3 linked regions of the Saccharomyces cerevisiae S288C genome follow. Changing the gene in region 3 together with the main gene of any one other region gives a genetic interaction. Each region holds a gene or a part of one and is shown on either strand. Other genes may lie near its edges.

Evidence for each region.
Region 1: mutations in YPK9 (region 3) and MUB1 together harm fitness more than expected from each alone (negative genetic interaction), as found in Saccharomyces cerevisiae (2 studies listed by BioGRID).
Region 2: mutations in YPK9 (region 3) and SPE2 together harm fitness more than expected from each alone (negative genetic interaction), as found in Saccharomyces cerevisiae (2 studies listed by BioGRID).

Annotation. Positions count from the first base shown.
Region 1 is NC_001145.3:464,157-467,913, reverse strand, and holds the start of MUB1 (MYND-type zinc finger protein MUB1), read right to left. Parts: upstream 1,615-3,757; coding exon 1-1,614. Other genes in the region: YMR099C (glucose-6-phosphate 1-epimerase), read left to right, coding at 3,087-3,757. UniProt on the Saccharomyces cerevisiae protein: Involved in the determination of the onset of polarized growth. Required for the ubiquitin-dependent degradation of RPN4. Cooperates with UBR2 to transfer ubiquitin from RAD6 to RPN4.
Region 2 is NC_001147.6:231,789-235,428, forward strand, and holds SPE2 (adenosylmethionine decarboxylase SPE2), read right to left. Parts: upstream 1,849-3,640; coding exon 658-1,848; downstream 1-657. Other genes in the region: GAL11 (Gal11p), read left to right, coding at 3,152-3,640.
Region 3 is NC_001147.6:859,547-863,303, reverse strand, and holds the start of YPK9 (putative acid anhydride hydrolase), read right to left. Parts: upstream 2,130-3,757; coding exon 1-2,129. Other genes in the region: SWI/SNF catalytic subunit SNF2, read left to right, coding at 3,046-3,757. UniProt on the Saccharomyces cerevisiae protein: Vacuolar transporter which plays a role in sequestration of divalent heavy metal ions.

The sequences.
Region 1 (3,757 bases), on a different chromosome or scaffold from region 3:
ATATTTCGTTCTTTTGCATCGACGACATTTTGCAAATTGTCTTGGAAAATCTTCCCATTTTCCGCACGAAAAATTGGCACACTGACGCACACCTAAGATCTCATTTTTTCGACATGAATTTCTCATGATGACAGAACTCCAATATATAACATCATGTGTATTTTCTGCGCTCACTGTATATTTTTCGACTAAGGGGAAGATGTTTACAACATTTGTTAGTACCTTGTTTTTGTAAACAATATTTGTTAATTCCTTTTTCATTTTATCGTAGCTCCAGCGCCTTTCAAAGTTATCAGATATTTTCTTCCTTAAATTAATTCTTTCCTTGTCTTTGCCATAGGCATTGTCGTCGCTAGGTTTCGGTACACGGTAGCGCTCAAACAAATTAAGAACGGGACAGTGGTTATTACATATTTCATTTTGTTCTTCTTGTTGACATCTGTTTGAGAGTTCTTCTAATTCTTTGAAAAATGGATCCATTTTGCTAGTATCTAGTGCCTTAACTTTGGAATTGTTTTCAGGATTTTTCGATAAATAAGGATATAATGAAGACAATTTTACAGTTACGTCTCTTTCTTGTTCTTCTAAGTCATTCTCTTCTGAGATTCTCTGTTTAATTTTGTAAGCCATACTTCTGAACGATAGGGATTCAACCAGCTCAACATTTTGAAGGGTTGATTTCATATATGTATACTTCGAAACAAAAGCTAATAACTGAAGCGACCATATAACGTCGTCTTGTTTGGGGACAATTCTTCCGAGAAAAAATTCACGTGGAGTGGAAATTGTAGGTCTATTAATGTCTGGTTGCGAAAAGAAATTCTTATGTGCATCAAAATTTTCACTTTCTACTTCACTATCAATATCAATGTCGTCGTCGTGTCTTTCCTGGTCAGGTTCAAAATTGCTAGCTAGGTCTGCAAACCGGCCCCATATATCACTAAAATCAGTTGGAATTGTCATAGACGGTGCCACTAATCGTTCGTTTAGAAAATTTTTGTCAGTTGACAACTTCAATTTATCCTGACCTGTAATGAACTCTATATACTGCTGATATGTTTCATTCTCATCTTTTCTCATGAATTTATACATTGTCTCCGTGGTTATCCCTTTGAAGTCAAAGGTCATTGTTTGATCTTTGATGAAGTCGTAATTTTTATGATATAGTAAATAGTTATCCAATACTGTGACCAGCACAGATAAGACCCCAGACATTACCACTTTTTTACGAATTTGTTCTGTCCCTCTAGTACCTGTCAATACTAAGCACTGAAATGTTAAAGTCCATTTCCAAGCGCATAGTGCTAGTCTTTTCTCCTTCCATAGATCCTTTATGTTTTCGTGCTCATTAAAATTTTCTAAATCCAAATCCAGCAACTCAAACAAACTTAAATGACAACTCCTCAATATTGAGACTAATCTTTCGAGAGCACCGTCGTTAGCTACCGTTTCCCTAACTTTTGATGAATTAGAGGTTAGATATGTTAAGTAGTTTAGGGAGTTTATTAACGGAATACTAGAGTTGATATCCAATGCCCTTCGGTCATAGACAGTAGATGTTATTGTTACTATAGGCTTGTTCGACGTTAATGATCGATGATTAGAGTCTCTCATTTCTTTACCTTTTCTTTGTTTTGAATATTTCAAATTACGTTCTATACGCTGTTATGATATGTTAATATAGCAAAAACAAACAAAAACTCCCAGGGAAATGAATTGAAAAATGCAACAAATAGGGACCTCACCTTTGTATAATGGAAGATTCCCAAGTTTCACTTATAGTTGATCAATGGGTATGATGAAATTAGCAAAGTAAAAAAGGGAATGTTTAATGGTTCAACTTAGATAAATGGAAGGTTGAATATGAGAACCAACAAAAATAAAAAATAAATAAAGTCTCAAATTATCTATATCGCTCTAATGAGGAAGTCACTGTGCACACTTACAGAAACTATATAAAAAACGGATATTTTTCTCTTCAGGTAGGGAAGTTTGTCCAGCACTTTCTTCCTTGTGAGCTGCTCTAGGTCTTTCGTTTGTATAGGCCGACCATCAATAACCCAACTCTCAAATTTTGCCACTGAACACCCATACAATACATAACCAAAGTATTCTAGTTGTTATCCTAGCTCGATGCATTGTTGTAGTAGGCCTAATAAGAAGATAGTTCAACCAAGAAAAATAGTCAAAAGGCTTTTTGCCGTTTGAACCATCATAAACTTATGGAAGCCATCTAAATAATTTTCCTTTTTCCTGGTTCCTTTCTATGTATCCAAAGATATATATTAAGTAGCCCACTTCTAGCCAACTTCTAGCCCACTTCTTAGGTAGTAACTATACGCAGCTGCTCCAGGAGGGAAAGAAAAAACCAACGGTCTATATTGTAATAACTATTAGTTTTCTTTCTCTTTCCGTGGGCTTCAACGGCCTTTATATAGCTCTTATTATTCGGAGTTGCTATTGGCGGCTAATATCTTGCGAAAAACGTGAGAATATGAACTTTAAAGTACACATGACTCGATTACTGATAACAAAATTGAGAGGGAAATACATAAGTCAAAATAATAAATGTCTGATGGACCATCTAACAGTTCACCTCGATCTACATATATTTCAATGCGAGAATGATTAATTCTTGCCATTGACAAACAACCCTTTTACTGCCAGCGCCTTTCATAACCATGTAGTTTTATATGCCTAATTATAATAAAGCATGACATATAATGCCAACCCCATATTTATATAGTTAACTTGAAACCGAGATTCATCTATTGCACCAGGAAAAGTGCCTTCTTCTTAAAACATAAGTTACGTCCCGACCATTCATCTAAACGGCATCAATCATTGCAGCAGAAGAAATAGTGTGTAGATGTCCTCGTTCGCTAGACGCAGTCAATGATAACAAGGTCTTTCTTCAAGCTGTCTTTCCATAAAAAGGTATCGCAAATGGGGTCACCAATGCGCCTTTTATTTTTCACGCCGAAAGAAAACTTAGTAGGTCCCTAGAAATGAATAAAGAGGTGATTCTGAGGTTCATTATAAGCCTTTGGTAAAACTTGAACCAAGAAAGATTAAAACACAAAGCCATGCCTATCAAAGAAACTGATAAAGAAGTTGTTTTGACTCATCCAGCTGATGAGACCACCAGCGTTCATATTCTAAAGTACGGTGCTACAGTTTATTCTTGGAAATTGAAATCTGAAGAACAGTTGTGGTTGTCTACTGCTGCTAAATTGGATGGTAGCAAACCTGTGAGAGGTGGTATACCTTTGGTCTTTCCTGTATTCGGGAAAAATAGCACCGATGAACATTTGAGTAAATTACCTCAACATGGTCTTGCAAGAAATTCTACTTGGGAGTTTTTGGGTCAAACTAAGGAAAACCCACCGACCGTACAATTTGGCTTGAAACCAGAAATTGCTAACCCAGAATTGACCAAATTGTGGCCAATGGATTATCTTTTGATTTTGACTGTTGAATTAGGCTCCGATTATTTGAAAACTGCCATAGAAGTAGAAAACACATCTAGTTCCAAGGAATTAAAGTTCAACTGGTTGTTCCATACATACTTCCGTATCGAAGATATTGAAGGAACAATGGTCTCTAATTTAGCTGGCATGAAACTTTATGACCAACTGTTGAAGGAATCCTACGTCGACAAGCACCCAGTCGTTACCTTCAATCAAGAAACCGATGTAATTTATCAGAATGTCAGCGCCGAACGGGCCATTCAAATAGTTGACAAGGGCGTTCAAAT
Region 2 (3,640 bases), 630 kb from region 3:
GGAGGGCTTTTCAGAATGAAAAAAAAAAGAATGAAGAAAGAATTAACCAAAGAATGGAGGTTATGTGTAAGAAATGGCATTTATATATACATTTATATAAAAATGTATAAACATACTTGCATTATTGATGTCCCATAAGGGGTGAGAAAAGACAAAAATGGAAACAGGGGAAAAGAAGAAGAGTAAAAAAAGGATTATTTTAGGAGAGAAAGGGGATTAGAAGAACATCGGGCATAAACCTTTGAGCATCATCCTTTATTGATGTTTGACACCTTGCGATTGATGAAAAATATTGATGATATTAAGGTATTTCTGATAGCCACTGCCCCGTCCCTTGAAGCGGCCTTCCGTCGAGGCCTTGGCAACCGTGTCTGGGTGTGTGATATATTACATCAGAGGAAATAAAAGCTTGAGCGGCTAAACTCCCTTAGCTCAGGGGTGGTCTGGCCAGGAATTTTCAGTGGCCATTTTTCCTGTTCCGGGTCCGGCCAATCTGTGCCGGTTTTCTCTAGAGGAAAAAAAAAAGCATGCGGGGTAATGATGTAGAAGATATACAAGCGGGTTAAACTACATTAGTTATGAGTGCTAGAAAGCAAGCGAAGGATAATAGAAGAGGGCTATTCTATGTAAGTATGAGGAGACACAAATGGCGGCTTTTCATATTTTCTTCTGCAATTTCATATAGAAAAGGTGGTAGTCGTCCAGATCATAAACAATTTTGTCTAACTTGATGTAGTCGGGCAGTGACTCGTTGATGCTTAGTAGTTTTTGGAAGGATTGGTTCTGATAATTTTTGGTAAAAAAGGTCATCGAGAACTCTCTTGGTTGAAAAACGTTCAGAATATGTAGAAGAACGTCCAAGTTGTCTTGCTTCCCTTGGGAAATGTCAAATACGGGTATGTTACTTTCGAAAGAGGCGTAAGACCAACCCTTTTCCGGAGTCACGTGCAGGGTGTAATAGTATTTTTCAGCGAGAATCATATTGGATGAGTATCCACATGGCGTGAACGCAAATGCATCGTGGTGAAATGATAAATCGGAGTCTTGGGCCGAGTTGACATATATTTCGTCAAGCCTTGTATTTTTAGTCATTTGGTAGCCGAGGTTGTGGCCCTTATCTTCGTTTGGCTCCACGAGAGCGGTTGTGGATGCCTCAGGCCCGCAAACAAACTTACTAGCGCATTCTGGGTCCAGCTCCGTCATCAGTACTTCGAAAGTTTCGTCGTCATCCTCGATGTACTCCTTTCCCTTAGGTGTGGAGCGGTCCGTCTCGGTGACGTACAGGTTCCAGTGGTTGCTCTTGTCATTTCTTCCCACGGAATAACTTTTACCATTGTCGAAAAATTTGTTCAAATAGTCGACTTCGTCAGCCCAGTTTTGATGGATAGCGGCTTGCTTACAGGGGAAAAGGAAACATCGTCTAGAATAAAACACTTTAAATGGTTTGTACTTGCCCCCTTGTGTTGTGCGGAAAGCCCACGATAACTCTTGCTCAACGATCTGGAAAAGCTTTTCGAGACAGAACAATGTGGTTGTAGTACCGCACGTCTTCATCGTCAATTTGTGATCGAAGACGAAGAGGGAAGACTCACTCAACAAAAAGGCATCCAGTTCTTTAGTCTTCTTCATGGAAAGAACTTCGCATTTCACTAATTTCAAAATCTCGATCCATCTATCCATGCCAATATTTCTTAATGTCTTTTCGGTCGTGATGGACTTCTTGTGAGGGAAGAACCAGATTTCCAGCAACTTCTCGGGACCCTCGAACGCATCCGTTGAGTCTAAAGTGGCTGATAGTTCGTGGTCAATGTAGTTGTGGTTAGTCAATTCTTTTATGGTGACAGTCATTCTATGGTCCGCCTATTTGCGTAAGACACTATATGAAAACCTAAAAAATATAAAAAAGAAGCTACAGTACAGTAATTGATTAACCTGGAAGAAAAAAAAGAAAAAAAGAGTTGATGCAAGGAGCGAGCTGTAGCGAATACAATATATACACGTATAGATATGCAGAGATGCTTTTAGTCGATTAGCAAAGTTTATTCGATGCCTAAATACCGGAGAACCGTGTTTGGAATTTTTTTTCTTCGAGTGGAAAAAAGTGAAAATTTCCAAAGTCAATCATTGTGTACGTACGCTGAAATTGGATGCAGAAGAGGTAAAAGGCGAAGGAAAAGAGGGCGAGGGTAAAAAGCCTGATTGCCAAACCATGGTGCCCAATTTATTGGATATTACTACTGATGGAAGGCTACATATCTCTGGCGCTTTCTATCAGCTGTCATCGATTTGAAATTCTTCTAGCCCTAGGAACGCCATTATGGGGCTTATCCGGGTAGCCAGTTGGCGGTTTTAGTTTTTTCACTTCTTGATTTTTTTCTAGTTCGAAGAATTTTTTCCACTGATGATTGAGCTATAAAAGAGCCTGATTAAGATGAAGAGCTCCGATTCTCTTCGTTAACGGAGCATCAAACATGACGTTAGCGTCAAGTAACCTACGATATTTGTGCAACAGACATGATGGAGTACCCTCATGCTTTGGCGCGTGCGCATCTATATAAGGTTAGGGACTGCAAAAGAAGCGGCGAGGCAGCCCACATCAAGTGGAACTACACAGACTTCCTTGTCGCGATACTACGGTCCCAAGAGCAATCCTAACAAGCAATTACATATTCCCCCGCTGAACCTGTACAGTCCACGGATGGTGCAGAAGTTATATGATTTGGGGGAAGACGCTTTTTCACATCTTCTTGCATGATAAGAGTAGTAGTAACTAAGTAATATGATTCAGTCAGTCTCTAGTTAATATAATTAGGCATTACCCTACATTGTGGCGGCCTCTTTTTTATTTCGAATCGGGCCTTCCTTCCACCCCGGCCCCGGTTGCGTCGATCAGAAAATTATATTATGGATGAGGATGATGAAGGTGCTTAACCTTTACAGTCAAACTTTTAATAGTCAACCATTCACAAGGACTAGGAATTTGTCTCTGGAAACAGCTGGTTCCACAAAGAAGTACTTCCACGACATTGCTATATACTTGTGCTGGTATATTTTTCTTTGTTAGTTAAACCCCATTTTTATAAGCGTATCGTTTCGTATAGTGCCGTACTCAAAGATCAAGGATTAAAACGCTATTTCTTTTAAATCTGCTATGTCTGCTGCTCCTGTCCAAGACAAAGACACTCTGTCCAATGCCGAGCGTGCGAAGAACGTCAACGGGTTGCTTCAGGTGCTCATGGACATTAACACTCTGAACGGAGGGAGCTCCGACACTGCTGATAAGATAAGAATTCATGCCAAAAACTTCGAGGCAGCTTTGTTCGCAAAGAGCTCTTCAAAGAAAGAATACATGGACAGCATGAACGAAAAAGTTGCTGTCATGCGCAACACGTACAATACGAGGAAAAACGCCGTTACTGCTGCTGCCGCTAATAACAACATTAAACCCGTGGAACAGCACCATATTAACAACTTGAAAAATTCTGGCAACAGCGCCAATAATATGAATGTCAATATGAATCTAAACCCACAGATGTTCTTGAATCAGCAGGCTCAGGCAAGGCAACAGGTTGCGCAACAATTAAGAAATCAACAACAACAACAACAACAGCAGCAGCAGCAACAGAGGCGTCAATTGACT
Region 3 (3,757 bases):
ACGCAAAAACCGAAAATTGCGATTAATGACATGAATCCAATATATTTAAAGGAATCTCTATAGAATTTAAAACCAGTTGGTTTTGGGAAAACCATGGAACGAACCAAGGAGCCCTTTGTTGTTGAGAATCCTGTCCTTACAACCATCGCCAAAGCGGCGGTTTGCCCGGGGGCAATTCTTGCTCTAATTATATTTGTACCATTATACAAGAAGGATTTGGAAACAAAACTCGATATTTGGGTGCTCTGGAAGTCGTCACATAATTGGTACATTGTTTCTTCCGTAGCTGGAAATTTCGAAACGGGCACAGATTCACCAGTTAGCATGGATTCATTGACTATACAATCACTGGACAGAAGAATAGAGTCACAAGGCAATATTGTTATATTTGGGTCAGATACTTCATATATATCGCCCGGAACTAGTTCTGATGAGCTTATCGTTGTCCAAAACTTATCCCTCAAAACACGAACGTCACAATGAAAGTGCGACATTTCAGCTAAGTTTCTCGATACTTTCTTCTGTTCATTCAATGAATCAAAAATAGACAGTACAGAAATCAAAAAAATGCATGCGGCGTAGTAGTAGTATTCATCAATGCCCCACAAAATTATCGAAAATACTTGAAAGACATAAAACGGATGCAACACTTCATTGAATAAAATTTCTGAAGTAGTTTTCATTCTCAAATTAATTTGATTTTTACCAAACGCAAGTTCTCTATCTTCTTGAACCCCCTTAGTTAAACCATTTGATACGGTACTTAAATCCACCCAGTCAGGATCTATCCAGTTATTGTTAGTTTTAAAGAGATCATCGAGCGGTGAATATATGAACTTAATATATCTGTATTCAAATGTGATCAAGATAGGCACATTTGGATTAATTTCATTGGCATGGTGGTGGCTCAAATTGATATCATTTGGTTCATATGACGGATTAGGGTAATTTTCAAAAGGTAAAACAGTACTTAATGGTCTATTATACCACTGTCGATCGATAGGTTGTATGACAAACTCACCAAACTCATTTTCTATCACGACCCATTCTGCTTTAGCCAATGGCACTTTCACGCCATATAATTTAACTTTGAGATGGGGAAGCCATCTCGTTAAAAGATAAACTAATCCGAAAGTCAAGAAGCAGCACAGGTTGTAAATAATATACCAGAATTTTGAGGTCTGGTAAGCAGCGATACCAATAACTAAATCCTCTTCCGCAATGTAAAACCTTTGGTAATGCAAGTTTGGTGCATACTGTGGATAAAACTTTTCATGATAGTCAGGTTTTAGATATTCGCTATGCTGATTATGAACATCATCATGACCAGAAAAGCTTCCTCTATTATTTTCGCTTGCAGATCGCCTACTATCTGAAGATTCTAAAGAATGTGTAGAAGACTCGTCTTCTAGTATTTCATCTGTTTGACTTTCTAGTTCAATAGGAATTCTTTCTCTGGTCGTATATCTCGATAAACTGGATGATGAATGTGTAGCGGAATGATAAACGAACCCAGTGTCAGAATTTTCTCCCAGCCTTTGTGGTGCCCTTGAACCAGAGCGACCCCTCTTACTGAAAGATCCATAAGACTTTGCATTTGAGAGAGATGATGCTCTGGAAAAACTTCGAATAGAAGAACGCCTGGAAGATAGGCCCGTACCATAGATTCTATCTTGTTCATAAGCGGGGGTGGCATCCCAGGCCATGTCATAATCTGTATTTTCTAACGTGGAAGCGCCTTCAGCATTGGATATTTGCTCCTGAGTGAAAAATCGAAAATGAGAAGGGTTTCTAGAAGAGCTTCGAGACTGTTCAGCCGAGGATAATACTAAAGGCTCTGATTCAGTCAATCGGCGGCCTCTCTGCTCTAGGTTCCCTGAAGAATGCGGACTTGGGAGGTTGCTTGATTGAAAAGAATGAGGGTGATGGAATGATACAATAGAACTTGGCACGGCTTCGAATGTTGCACCTGCGTACGGTTCCGAATTGTTCTGATCCAGTACCATCGCGGAAGTCAATGTGGCCGCCGTAGAAGTAGTGGCTGTAGAAGAAAAAGAAGCCCTCGGCATTCTTCGGTTCCTTTCACTCCTTTGGCCATGTTGAATTTGGTTTGAAGAGGGAATATCCATTACCGGAGTATATGCAAGATCTATCAGTAAGTCTGGGCTCCTTTTTATTTTAAAGAAGAATCTATTGACTCTGAACTATTTTCAATCAAAAATAAATTCACAAGTCCAACACCTCCAACTCTATGGTATTGCGTTCTCTTTTTGCCCTTTTTTCCTTTTTTTCTTTTTTTCACTACTCTTTCCTTGATTTCCATTTTTTTTCATTTTTCACTCTTCTATCACCTCTTCATACCCATACCCCCTGTTGGCCGCGGCTGCCCTAAATACACACATATATATATATAAAACAAACAAGGCATTTTTCAAATTAATAAAACTAATAAAAAAAGCTATAGAGCCTTTTCTTAGAACACAGTGTTGAAATATTCGCTTTTTTCTTTTTATTGAAACTCCTTCACTTCCAAAAAGACACGATTCTTAATGGCTATTCTGAGTGAACATAAGGACACTAAGAACTAACAAGTAATTGAAAAAAAAAGAAGAAGACATGATGAAGAAGAATTAGTGAGCAAAATACAGTTGAAGTTCCTAACGCTTATTTTCCTTGCAGATTAATTCCAATACATTCGCCACTATTGGAATTTTGCAGGTAGCCAATTTTCGCGTATATATACTAGGTTTAGGAAAAATAGCCGCCGGTAAAAATAGTGATAGGCTGTTACCCGAATACCGTTGTTCGCGATATGTTAAAACCGCGTTTGAAAGACAAATATCAACAAATTGATTGACGAAACGGGGCCATCCTGAGGCGGTAGGACAATAAGTTAAAAGAAAGGTTACCTCTAGTCTCAATAAAGAAGATATTTGTGACGTACGTGGACCTTTTGTATATAAATCATCGGGAAGGTCAGCTATTCTGTTGTTTCTCTAATCGCGACTTTCTGCTATTTTCACGACTTTCGATTAATTATCTGCCATGAACATACCACAGCGTCAATTTAGCAACGAAGAGGTCAACCGCTGCTATTTAAGATGGCAGCATTTGAGAAATGAACACGGAATGAACGCTCCGAGTGTGCCGGAATTTATCTATTTGACTAAAGTGTTGCAATTTGCTGCCAAGCAGCGACAAGAATTACAAATGCAACGCCAACAGCAAGGCATTTCAGGTTCTCAGCAAAATATTGTTCCAAATTCTTCAGATCAAGCAGAACTGCCGAATAATGCTTCCTCGCACATTTCTGCTTCTGCTTCCCCGCATTTAGCTCCGAATATGCAATTGAATGGAAATGAGACCTTTAGCACTTCTGCTCATCAATCACCAATCATGCAAACACAGATGCCATTAAATAGCAATGGTGGTAATAACATGCTACCACAACGGCAATCTTCGGTTGGTTCATTAAATGCAACTAATTTTTCACCAACACCAGCAAACAATGGAGAAAATGCTGCGGAGAAACCAGATAACTCAAACCATAATAACTTAAACCTTAATAATTCCGAGCTTCAACCGCAAAATCGATCATTACAAGAACACAACATACAGGATTCAAATGTGATGCCAGGTTCGCAGATAAATTCTCCTATGCCCCAGCAGGCGCAGATGCAGCAGGCACAATTCCAAGCACAACAGGCGCAACAAGCGCAACAGGCACAACAGGCACAACAAGCACAAGCGAGACTGC